3 separate regions of the Mus musculus genome follow, and all the other regions are reported to be linked to region 2. The links are microRNA targets in miRTarBase. Many come from high-throughput screens and were not tested one by one. Region 2 holds a microRNA gene; each other region holds the end of a gene's coding sequence.

The links. The annotated mature microRNA mmu-miR-331-3p reads GCCCCUGGGCCUAUCCUAGAA and lies in region 2 at 2,782-2,802, shown strand. An mRNA with a match to its seed (bases 2 to 7 or 8) in the 3' UTR can be bound and repressed. Matches are read on the target gene's strand: a 7mer-m8 pairs with bases 2 to 8, a 7mer-A1 pairs with bases 2 to 7 and ends in A, and an 8mer does both.
Region 1: the mRNA of Tbc1d8b is a reported target of mmu-miR-331-3p. Seed matches in the 3' UTR shown: 7mer-A1 at 1,743-1,749.
Region 3: the mRNA of Aim2 is a reported target of mmu-miR-331-3p. Seed matches in the 3' UTR shown: 7mer-A1 at 1,282-1,288.

Annotation. Positions count from the first base shown.
Region 1 is chrX:139,751,042-139,755,103 of GRCm38, reverse strand. Tbc1d8b (TBC1 domain family, member 8B) reads right to left here. Exons shown (of 21, transcript NM_001081499.2): 21 at 886-3,643. The coding sequence ends at 3,263. Among named protein-coding and RNA genes, the nearest start is that of Ripply1, 29 kb to the left of the region's middle.
Region 2 is chr10:93,962,517-93,966,584 of GRCm38, reverse strand. It overlaps Mir331 (microRNA 331), which reads left to right and starts at 2,722; the gene lies at 2,722-2,817. It overlaps Vezt (vezatin, adherens junctions transmembrane protein), which reads left to right. Exons shown (of 12, transcript NM_172538.5): 12 at 1-4,068.
Region 3 is chr1:173,464,285-173,468,346 of GRCm38, forward strand. It overlaps Aim2 (absent in melanoma 2), which reads left to right. Exons shown (of 9, transcript NM_001013779.2): 9 at 687-1,756. The coding sequence ends at 734. Among named protein-coding and RNA genes, the nearest start is that of Ifi206, 25 kb to the right of the region's middle.

The sequences.
Region 1 (4,062 bases), not on the chromosome of region 2:
ACCTATAGATGCTAAAGACACCTGTGGAATTGTGTGAGGCATTTAGCGACTGAGGGTGGCCACCTATAACAGGCTGTGGTTTCAGAGCTACATAGAAAGGACATAGAGACTTGGAAGTAGATTTCTTCCCCAGCGGAACCAAGTCTTTACCTGAGAACCAAGTCTAGATTATCCCTTGCTCACAGCCTCATAATCCTACCCAGAGGACCTAGCTAGGCTGAGTCCCTAGTGATGACACACTTAAATAGTTAGATGATAAATGTGCATTGTACTGATTTCTTATGCAGCACGAGAAGGGGGAAATGCTCACGTAGTTCTCAGTATCCATTCTGGTCTGGGGGGGGGGGGGTTGCTGGACTTCAGAAGGGAAAAGCACAATTCCCACCTTTCTTTAGCACTCTGATTCTGGACTATGATGATTCTTGGCTGGCAGGGTGAACACTGCACTTCTGACATCTGCTGCTGAAGATGACTGTGAAGATTTCTGGCTATTCCGCTGCAATTTAGTCATGAGTGCCTGGGTGCTGAGGGGCAAGGAACTTGGCATCCATTTGCAAGTGAATCATGTCTCTGGAGGTAGCGAGTGTTTTCACTCTGGCAGTTTCCTATCATACAAGAATTAGCAACTGTCCTGCTAGCCTGGGAGGGAGGTGGTCTTGGATGTTGTGTTTGAAAGTTCAACTAAGCTGCTCCTTCTAATAATGATACAAGCCACTTACTATCCAGGGATAAACAGTTTCCTGCCTAAACCAATTGAGAATGAATTCTGGTTTTCTTGCAGCTAGAGTCGAAACTGATGTAGCAAGGATGCATAGGCTCAAGTGATATTTCAGTTATGTGTCAGTAAAGTGCATAATAAAACATTTGGCCTTTTAGTAAACCTTTCATATTTAATATAATAGATTTTTAATACTTAGTTTTATAAAGACAAAGTCATGTTATAACATTTAAGGTAAAAGGCATAATGCACTGGTCCAGTTTGACACAACAAAATATTTTGAATATTGTGAACAACTCATTTGCTTAACAAAGCAGCAGCTATAAAACTAGAACATGTTTTGCTTCCTTCTCCTGCAGACTCGGAAAATACATTGTTGTCTTGCTTTCATTTATAATCTTCTTGAAATTCAAAAAATCTCTTTATTTATTTTTTATTGATCAAGACTAAAATACAATATTCAGTAATCTTTACCATTTTGACTTTAAAATAATATCAAAAACTAACAACATATTCTCTTAAGAAAGTATCTGTTGTAAATACAACTGACAAAATATTCAACAAAGTGTGTATAACAGTATCTTTGTATACAAGCGCGGACCATATGTTTTTCTAGAGCTATCATCGTATAATTTAACAATCATTGCATAATGGTAGATGTGTGATGGTTCTCACATAAACTATCAACTAGGATTGAAAATTGGGACATATTTTAGCTAATCATCTCTGAGTTGAGGCAGAAAGGCTTAGTTTTCAACTATCTCTTTTAAGTAGTCATGTCCTTGAAAAGACAGCATAATCAAATCTTAAAGATGCTACCAGCATTTGACCAAATTCAACTTAGGAATTTTCTTTCTTTTTTTTTTTCCTTTGAGTTTGTTTATATAGTGGATTACATTAAGGGATTTTTTAAATTTATTTTTTTTTAATTTTAATTAGGTATTTTCTTCATTTACATTTACAATGCTATCCCAAAAGTCCCCCATACCCTCCCCCCGCCACTCCCACTTTTTGGCCCTGGTGTTCCCCTGTACTGGGGCATATAAAGTTTGCACGACCAATGGGCCTCTCTTTCTACTGATGGCCGATTAGGCCATCTCCTGATACATAGGAATTTTCAAAGACACAATTTGAGAAGTGCTTAGCTTCACTGAAAATAGTATGTGGTATGGTAACACAGTTAGGTTTTAGTCACAGTACGTTCTTGTCAAAGACTGACCATGCCAATTCTTTCCCAGAAAGGGAGACTTGTTTGGTCACCATGAAGGAAGTCTATCCTTTCATTGTTTCCCTTCTAGCCAAGTCAGAGGCTCGAAATCCAAGTCTAGTGTGAAGACAGAAGCTCCACACACTGGTTCCTGCCCCATTTCCCAAGTCAACTGCTAAATAAGTCCCTCTTCAAAAGCGGCAGAAGACAGGTCAGGTCTGCATGGATTGCTTGTTTTTGTTTGTTTGTTGTTTTGTTCTTTTGAAAGTGCTATCAGCGTCCATATATATTTAAATGGACTGCCATAGAAAAAGCATAAAGTATGTAAAAATTGCACATCTAAGTCTAACCTTTTTAGGTAGATGCTGGCAATTCTATATAGTACCCTAGTAAGTATTACATGAAGTATACTTTACATGCTTGCCAGACTAATACAGCAATTCAGTCTTAGTGAAACTCTTCCACACTACCTACTATAAATTAAAATACAATGGGTAAAAATTCAAACTACAAAGCTGGGACACAAGCAATCAGAAGCTATTCTGAAACCAAAGCAATAAACAATGCCACTCTAGAGAATTTTTATTTGTGTCTCAGTCTAACTGAAAGAGCTATATAGTTAACTAAACTGTCTTCTAACCTTTCTTTTCAAAATGCTGGCTTTATTTGATTTAAGTCTAAATCTGGTGTTGTTTTTCTTTATATCAGCCCAGAATTTAGACTTCTTGATTTGTGTTTATCAGCAACAGAGTTAGTAGCGTTAAACACCGAGTGCTCAATCCCTCGAGAGCAGAGAATGCAGAAGTTGCATGTATTACTGTAAAACCATGTATTACTGTACTGAATAAAATTACGTTTTAGAAGTAAATCTTTTAGTTATATAACTTGGAAATCAGGGCCCTAAAAGGCAACTTCCTAGATAATTAAGGCTACAGTTCTAAAGCCCAGTTTTGTAAAGTTTTTATAAGACTGGGGTCATTTGAAAAACAAGGCTTACCAATTTGCCATAACAGCATTATAATAAATATCCTACCACCTTTCAAAAGACCAGCAATCTCATGGAAACAGCAGGACAAACTTGTGACTGACTCACTAAAGTGATATGGTGGCGCCCTCTGGTGGTCCCACTGAGCATGTGACCCTGATGCTGCTTATCTTGTGACAGGGGGAGAATTTTTTAAAAGTGCATTTAATACAAAGGAATGAACCATTGTGCTTCTGAGTATCTTTTTCTTCTGCCTTGGAGCACATCAGTAATGCAACATATCCCTGAGAAGTATTCCCAGGAATCAGGCTGATAGTGCAGGAATCTTGGCAAAGCTGATGATGGCAGAGATTTACATCTTGGTTCTAGACCTTAGCTGGGAGCTTTTCGCATTTTCTAGCTTGGCTTTTAAATCTAAGGGTCTCTCAAAAAACCTCACCAAGGCTGGTTCATTTAACAGGGAAGCAAGAATCTGCTCAAATGCAAACGACCACTGATGTTCTTCCCTGGGAGAGGGAAGATCTTTCTTCACACTGCTCTCTGCATTCCCTTCACTGGGTCCAGAATCACGAGCTGTACTGGCTGATGATGCCGGGCTATGGAGTTTCCTTCCAACTTCTTCCATCCTGAGCAGAAGGTTGGTTACAATAGCAATGGCTTGATATAGCGACTCTTCTTCAGGGTCCTCATGAAATAAATTATACAGGGTCTTTGAAAATTGAATAAATTGTGACTAGAAGACACAAGTTGGAAATAGAATATTTTAACATTAAACTTAGCAAATATAAGTGGAACTCAGAAGTGCATAGCATCCTGTATAAAATTTATAGTCTATAACCTTCATCATAGAACTGAATTCATGATACATCTTTGCTCAAGGAAATTAAGTATGAACCATGAAAGAACATGCCACTAAAGCCATCTCACACACTGCCTAATCAAAGAATGTCATATCCAAACTAATTTCTGACAGGTTTATTGGCTGAAATATACTGGATTTCCAGGATTATTTAGTGTTGGGTGACAATTTTGGTTATTCAAAATTCCATATTTTCCTCCATGTATATCTCATCAACCAATTTTAAGAAAAGGATTATGGACTTCATCTGATCTCAAAAAGCTACACTGGGCACTAAATGAAGGTGATTTAAT
Region 2 (4,068 bases):
ACTAAACCTGACTCATTTAGTAAGAACTGGCAGACTTGACAGGGGAATAAATGATTTGGACAGCCCAGTTCTCTAGCAATGTATGAAATACACCATAATCTTTGCTATATTACAACGGTTATCAAGGAGCTGGGGAGATGACTCACTGGGTAAAGTGTCCTCTAAACAAGTACGAGAATGAGAACCTTCACTCAGATCCCAGTGCCCATATAAAAGAGCTGGGCATATATATGGCATACATCTATAACCCCATGCCTGGGGTTAGAGTCAGAAAAATCCCCAGAAAGTCTCTGGCCAGCCACTCTGGCCTCATCAGTGAGAGTGGTCTAGGGAAACCCTAAACATCAACTCAACCTCTGACTTAGCCCATATACACACATGTACATACACATGAATATGTGTGTGCATACCCTCTTGTATACATGTACACAAAGACACAAATTCATCATCATAATCATCATAGCCATTGGTTTTTTGAGACAGGGCTGCTCTATATTGCCTACCCTGGAACTCATTATGTAGACAAGGCTGACCCTGAGATTTGCCTGTCTCTGCCTGCCAAGTGCTAGGATGAAAGACATGGACTACTACAGCCAGCTCAAAATGGTCATTATTAACACGGGTTGTTATCCTCTGGTACACTAAACGCCAAGAACTGTCCCTTTATTAAGTTCCATTTGACTTGACTGGGCTTCAGTCATCATGCGTTCAGTTTTGGTAGGGATTCCTCCGTTCCTGTTACTGCAGATTAAGTGTGCGTGAATTAGCGGCCCTTGTCCGCTCTCACGCATGCCTTCCGACCTGCTGTGAAGACTAGATGACTCTGCTAGTTAAGCTGTGTAAGGTAAGAGCAGGCAGATGCAGAGTGACAGGCATACTGCTGACGCTCACTGACTCTTCTGAAGGATTTCTTATGACGTGCTGGATTACAGTCTTTGACCCAGTGAAATTGCTGGGTTAAATGCCTACTTTCAATATGAAAGTATTGTTATACAAGATAATTTTCCCCAACATCTTGCCTTCTCTAAAGTTGGTTCTATACCTGTAACTCTTTTGCAGTGATTACTGTCATATATACTTTCCATTTGAATTGGAAACCACATGCTGTCCTGAATTTCTTTGGCTCTCTTATTTAAGATAAATGCGTCTTCATTTCCAAGACAAAGTAGATTAAGCCATGGAAAATAAGAAAACAATTATTGAAGATATCTGAGAAGTACTACAATTGTAGAACCTAGGCCACAAAGAATAACATGATTATGAAAGACCATCCACGCTGACAGCATCTTTGCTTTCTTTAATTCAGCTAAAGGAAGTGAAGTATACATTAAAAGTTTCCCATGATTCATCAGTGTTAACTCAGTGGCAGAAGATCCACTGTCATTCAGTAGTTGGCATGCCTAAATTAGCCTTCAGTGTATAAAATAAGCAAGATTACATTTTCCAATAATACTAGACTGTCTAGAAGTGGCTCTCCTAACATCTGCTTAGTTGTACCGTTTATGTGCTGTGCTTTGCTAACCATGGGACTCGCTGTCATCATATACAGAGTGAGTAGTGTGTCAGTCTATTTTATTCTCATGCTTCATGGAACTCACTCTCATTACATTCAGCGTGGATGCTGTATCAGACTTTCATAATCATGCTTCATGTGGCTGCTCTCCAGTTACCCATGTTATGGAAGGGAATTATGATATAATAATTGTAAGAAGAATGGTCCAAACCAGTTCCTTGTATTGACACCATTGTAGAAGAGACAGTGATGGCAGACATGATTGGTGCTTCTCTCTGAGTAAGCTGTTAGAGAAGCACAATTCTACCCAGTGCAATTGCTGTAAACCAAAAAGAAGGAGTTCATACCGGGGTTTACATAGGCAAGATTCAGCAGGAATTAGGAGGAATTAATTTCATACCTATCTTTAAATGTGTGATCAAATCTAGGTGTAGTGGCACATACCTTTAATCCCTGCACTCTGGAAACAGGCAGGCATATCTCTGATTTCAAGGCCAGCCTGGTCCACATAGTGAGTTCCTGACTGGCCAAGGTTTATATATATAGTGATGATTGTGTGATAGATTCTAATGCCCATGGTGTCTTTAAAATGCAGTCCATTAGAATCCACTTTAGTGTGTCAGCAGTGACATTAGTTTTATCCCTGTGTACTGAGATTCACTTAGCACATATGTTGCTCAAGTGGAAATGATGCTTAGGGTGTGTATACTTCTGATTATACAAGCTGAAAAATTGGACTACCTGTAGATAATGCTAAATAGATATTTTTTCTCACTTATTTCTTAAGAGTTTCTTAAAATAGATAGTATTATTTTAGGATTTATAACAGTTTTATAACATGTCCTAAAGACTGACTACATACAAATAAGTTTATTGTTGCAAATCTCTTCTAAAACTAAAGTATGTCCTTTGTAAGTTTGCTCTTTTACAATGACCTAAACAACTTCTTAGCCCGCTTTTCCTTCCAAGTTAAATGACTAAATTGACTCTGATTCTGAGTCCAAGTATGTTCTGCATTTTTCTGTACCTTCTGTTCAAGTCTGTGACTTAAAAGTGCTGAGGCACAGTACTGGTGTGTGACAATATATAGAAGGCTCCAAGAATGTCACTCCTATCCCTTAAAGGTTGGTGTGTGGCCCTGATCCAGCCCTGGAGGCCCACATGGGTGAGAAGCCCAGAAGCCCATGCAAGCTGAAAGCACTCCCAAGGAGTCTGGTTTTGTTTGGGTTTGTTCTAGGTATGGTCCCAGGGATCCCAGATCAAACCAGGCCCCTGGGCCTATCCTAGAACCAACCTAAACCCGTGCATCATTCCTGGAACACCCAGAGGATGAAGACCGAAGATAACTGAGGCTGACTACACATCCTGTACTCACCAAGATTCAGTTCTTATATATGTACCTATTGTTTAGCAAGCCCTGGCTGGTTAATCTGTCTGGAGTCAAAATAACAATATTTGGTAATAACAAAGTCTCCCGAGGCTGATACCCCAGTAGTTTCCTATGGTAGAAATTCTATGTGGTTGTTATTAATTCCCAGTGAGGAGAACTGGTCTTGTGATTTTTATCGTCAGATAAAACTGATTTAAATGTCTATTTTAAAAAGCAGCAATGTAGCCACAAAACCGTTCTCAAAACAGCCTTCTTCCAAACTGGACAAATTGTCTTTTCTTAACTACTTCCAGTGATGTCTAACCAGTCTCTGTCAGCTGTATGCTTTATTGGCACTTTCGGAACGGCAAGCATCTGTCTTCGTCTTCCCACTCTAATGCTGAGTGGCTCTAAGTTCTTGTTTCAGAAATTAGTATGTTTTCCCTGTCACTGGGTCTGCTGCGCAGCAGAGCTCCTTTTAAGGTTTCTGTGGCTCAGGACCATGAGTATGGTGAGGTAGTAGATGGTTAAGCCCGTGGATTTTGCAGCAGTATTGTGCAGAAGAAAATTTTAAGAACTTCAGTTTTCTTCCTGATCTAATAAATATATGTTATGACCTCATAATCTAGCTGGCATTACTAGAGTCAACTGTGTGTTTATTTGTTTTGATTTGGAAGACAAGAATTCTGAAAATGCATGAAGACCCAAACTGAAAAATTATGGTAAGCATTGACAATTTATGCTTTTGATGTTTTGTGCAGACTAATAAACTCTCCATACATAAGGAACTCAAAATCATGCATTCCTACCAATCTTTATCACACTACCAAAATTTACGTCACCCAGTCACAGTTCCAAATGGGCCTGGCGCCTATTGAGGCTCACCCGAAAAACTCAACTATTCTACACCATATTCATCCCATTTCTACCCCAAGTTTATGGGAATTTTTTTTATGCCACAGATTGAGTTTTGTGCTTCTCAGTGTTTTCTTCCTTGGAGTGTGTGCCTCATGAACACACTTACCTAAGAGATCAGCATTGCCTAGAATCCATGTGCACACACCAGGTTGATGTGTAATATGTTTTGTGAGTATTTTGGGGGCATTATACTCATTTACATCATAAATAGAGACCAAAAATAGAAATTATGGACTGTTTAATTAGGTTTGTTTTTTTGAGTCAGGAC
Region 3 (4,062 bases), not on the chromosome of region 2:
ACACACACAAACACATACACACATGCACACACAAAATCTCACTCTCCTTCTTTTCTTCTTCTTCTTCTTCTTCTTCTTCTTCTTCTTCTTCTTCTTCTTCTTCTTCTTCTTCTTCTTCTTCTTCTTCTTCTTCTTCTTCTTCTTCTTCTTCTTCTTCTTCCTTCTCCTCCTCCTCCTCCTCTCAAAGAACTTTCCACAATGAATTTATTGAATACAGTCTAAATCTAATGAAGGCAGCTTTCTCAAAGTTGCACACATCATTCTGGCAAATGCAGTTAAAAGTCAAGTCAGACTATAACACCCTGACAACAAACATCTGAGCCAGGGCAATCATCTTCACATCTGTCATAGTCCAAAGCAGTTAAGTCAGCTATCACATCCCCGTGCTGATGATCCCACTGATTCTGCTTTCCTCTCTTCCTCACCACTCAACTGTATATATAGAGTTATTAGATGGGGACCTGAGAAGTCTTCATATTTGTCCTTCTTGTGTAGGAGTGTGTGTGTGTTCAGGGCAGATATAGTTCAGGAGAGTTGTCCAAGAGTGACAGAATTAAGAGGAAATATGTGTTAGGTGAGGAGATTTGATGAGAAGAAAGGAATTTTCAGGAGAACACAGTAAGTGAAAGTAGAGGAGAATTAATTAATCAACAATATTTCAGTCTTCATCTTCCTTTCCTACCCAGGTTATTAAGGCTGCAAAGCCAAAAACTGACATGAAAAGTGTGGAGTGAAGTCACCTCATTTGAAAAACCTTTTCCTGAAGAATCCTGATGCTGCTCCTTGAACTAGACTGAACTACCTGAGGATAGCATTTTACAACCTCATCATCATATTGTATTACTTAGAAAAGGACAAATACTCAAAAAACATCTGAAAAATATATGTAAACTTATTATTAATTAAGTTATTAAGACTGCCCAACCTGGGGATCCATCCTATATACAACCACCAAACCCAGACACTATTGCATATGCCAGCAAGATTTTGCTGACAGGATCCTGATATAGCTCTCTCTTGTGAGGCTCTGCCAGTGACTGACAAGTACAGAAGCAGATGCTCACAGTCATCTATTGGATGGAACACAGGGCCCCTAATAAAGGAGCTAGAGAAAGTACCCAAGCAGCAAGTGGTCTGCAACGCTATAGGAGGAACAACAACATGAACTAACCAGTACCCCCCAGAACTGTGTCTCCAGTTGCATATGTAGCAGAAGATGGCCTGGCCGGTCATCAATGGGAGGAGAGGCCCTTGGTCTTGCAAAGATCATATGCCCCAGTACAGGGGAATGCCAGGGCCAGGCAGCAGGAGTGGATGTGGGTGGGTTGGGGAGTGTGTGTGGGGGGTGTTATAGGGGACTTTCGGGATAGCATTTGAAATGTAAATGAAGAAAATATCTAATAAAATTGTTGCTTTGTCTAAGGTTTGAGATATCATTCTTCTCTACATAGACACTGAGGGTATAAGTATGGCGGGATTGCAGATGTGACAGCAGGGCCTTGTCGGAGAGACGCCTGTGGGTGATAGAGAAGATTGGTGATATATAATTTTTTAATTTAAAAATTTTAAATTTCCTTTTGGGGAGGAGGTTACAGGTGGAGGAGGGTGGGTATGATAGTACTAAGAAATCAGTGATATTGGGGTATGTGATGTGAAATTCCCTAGCACTCAATAAAAGAATTATGTTTTTAAAAAGAAAGATTGTTGATAAATAAATAAATATGATTTTACTCATGATTCAGAAAGTTAGAAAAAAGTTTGTGACTGTTCTATTTTTATTACTTATTCCATTTTTGATATCATAATACAATGATACTATTTCCCTCTTTCCTTTCTTCCCCCTAAATCCTCCCATGTACCATTCCTTGCTTTCTTTCAAATACATGGCCTTCTTTTTCATGAATTGTTGCTATAAGCATATATGCATATCTACATATATATATAAATACAACCTGCTCAATCTGTACAATGTTGCTTGTATGTATATTTTCAGGGATGACCATTTGCTATTGAATGATTAATTGCTGTGCTTTTTCCCAGAATAGACTGTTCTTCCAATAAATAATGTTAGGTAATTGCAAAAATCACATTTTTTTTTAGATTCCACCCAGAGAGCTGAGGTTGTAGTACAAGCACATGAGAAAAACCTAAGGAAAGACAAACATCTTCAGAGAGTGAGGAGAAGGAAATATTTCTACCTGGGGCAGGTAGTGCATACTAGACAACTCACAAATTATAATTAAGTTAAAATGTTAGCAAATTAACCAAGATTGAGTTTAGTGGCATGAGAATGGAGATCTTCTGAGAACCTCCACCATAAGGAGAGCTTATGCTCATTTTCAGGTACTTTCCTGGGTGGGCATGAGAAAGTCTGGGCACATGCCTGGGAAAGATGAGCCGCTGAGGGAAAGGCATGAAGGTCTCCCTTGAGGTCCTCATATATGATAAAATTTCTCTAGTGTTGCAGGATATTTAATTACACAGTGAACCTCCAGATTGTGTTGTTTACAAGAAAAAGCTAGGCACAATTGAAGAAAGAATGAGCCAGAGGATGAGAAAGAGCTAGAAGGTTAGAACACATTGCCAAAGTTAGTTTGAAGCCATCAGAGAAATTAAGAAGCTAAGGGAAGCCATATTGAATCAGGCTGGAGAGGAATTTTGAGTTTGGAAGCTAGAAGCTTCCAGGACTAGACCTAGGTTAGTAGACAGAGGCAGTAAGTCTCCAAGATGACTATTACCTCTTGTGAATAAAAGTTACTCTTACACTCTAGGGGAAGAGAAGCAACTCTTACTCTTCATGGCAAAGAGACCTGTTATGGTTTGTATATGCACAGCCCAGGGAGTGGCACTATTAGAAGGTGTGGCCTTCTTGAATTAGGTGTGGCCTCCTTGGAGTAGGTATTTTTAAGACCCTCATCCTAGATGCCTAGAAGCCAGTATTCTGCTAGCAACCTTCAGATGAAGATGTATAACTCTCAACTCCTCCTGCACCATGCCTGCCTGGATGCTGCCAAGCTCTCATCTTGATGATAATGGACTGAACCTCTGAACCTGTAAGCCAGCCCCAATTAAATGTTGTCCTTGTAAGACTTGCATTGGACATGGTGTTTGTTCACACCAGTAAAACCCTAACTAAGACAGGAAGCTTTGAAACAAGGGGAAGGAAAAATTGTTCTGCTTCTGGAGCAAAAGAAGGAATAGGTTCTAGGTATGGAATACTAAATCTTCCAACATGTGGAATTGTGTAGAATTAAGGATGAAACTCCTTCATACTTAGAAACACACATGACTCAGTGTTTGCCAAAGACAATAGATCAATAGAACTGTTGTCAGCTGAACAGATCAATAGAATATCCTCTAGTCACTCTACAATTTTTTTTCTTTTTATGACTCTGCTGAACAACCATCAGCTAACAGCTAACTGCAGACAGCTTCTAGGAGACAGTCATGTAAGTGCCTGTGCTTATTTTCCAGGTCCAGGTCACCTGATATGGTTGCAAGGAATTAAGTCAGGCCAGGTTGGAGGGACCACAGCCCAATGTCACAGGTGTGTCAATTTCATTGAGAACAATCATACTTTTTATATCTTTATCAAAAGCAGAATATGGTGAAAATTTCCAGGATCAGTATAGTTGTAGTTTCCCGGATACAAAGATCTTTGCAAGCTAATTACCTTCAATATCTGTGTCATATAAGTGTTTACCTGGAATACCTTCCAGTAACTCTAGACACATAAAAGTGAAATCCAGGGTTTGCATTTGGAGAATTCCTGAGGAATCATGGGTTGTGAATAAATGAATGGACTAAGATGACCCACATCCCATGGCTAAATGTTCCAGCAGATTAGGGACTTCTTGAAACCACCAGAGAACCCTCATTTGGTAAAATAATCATTCACACCCTGTCCAGGGATGATCTTTGAAAAGGCATCCCCTGACCCCCTTTTTTTCTCAGCCAATGAAACCTCCCTGAACTATATATCTTGATAACTGCAATGGATACTGGACTCCATATCTTACCTTCCTTAACTGGATTGGAACACAGTCTGGCCCATCAAGAAAA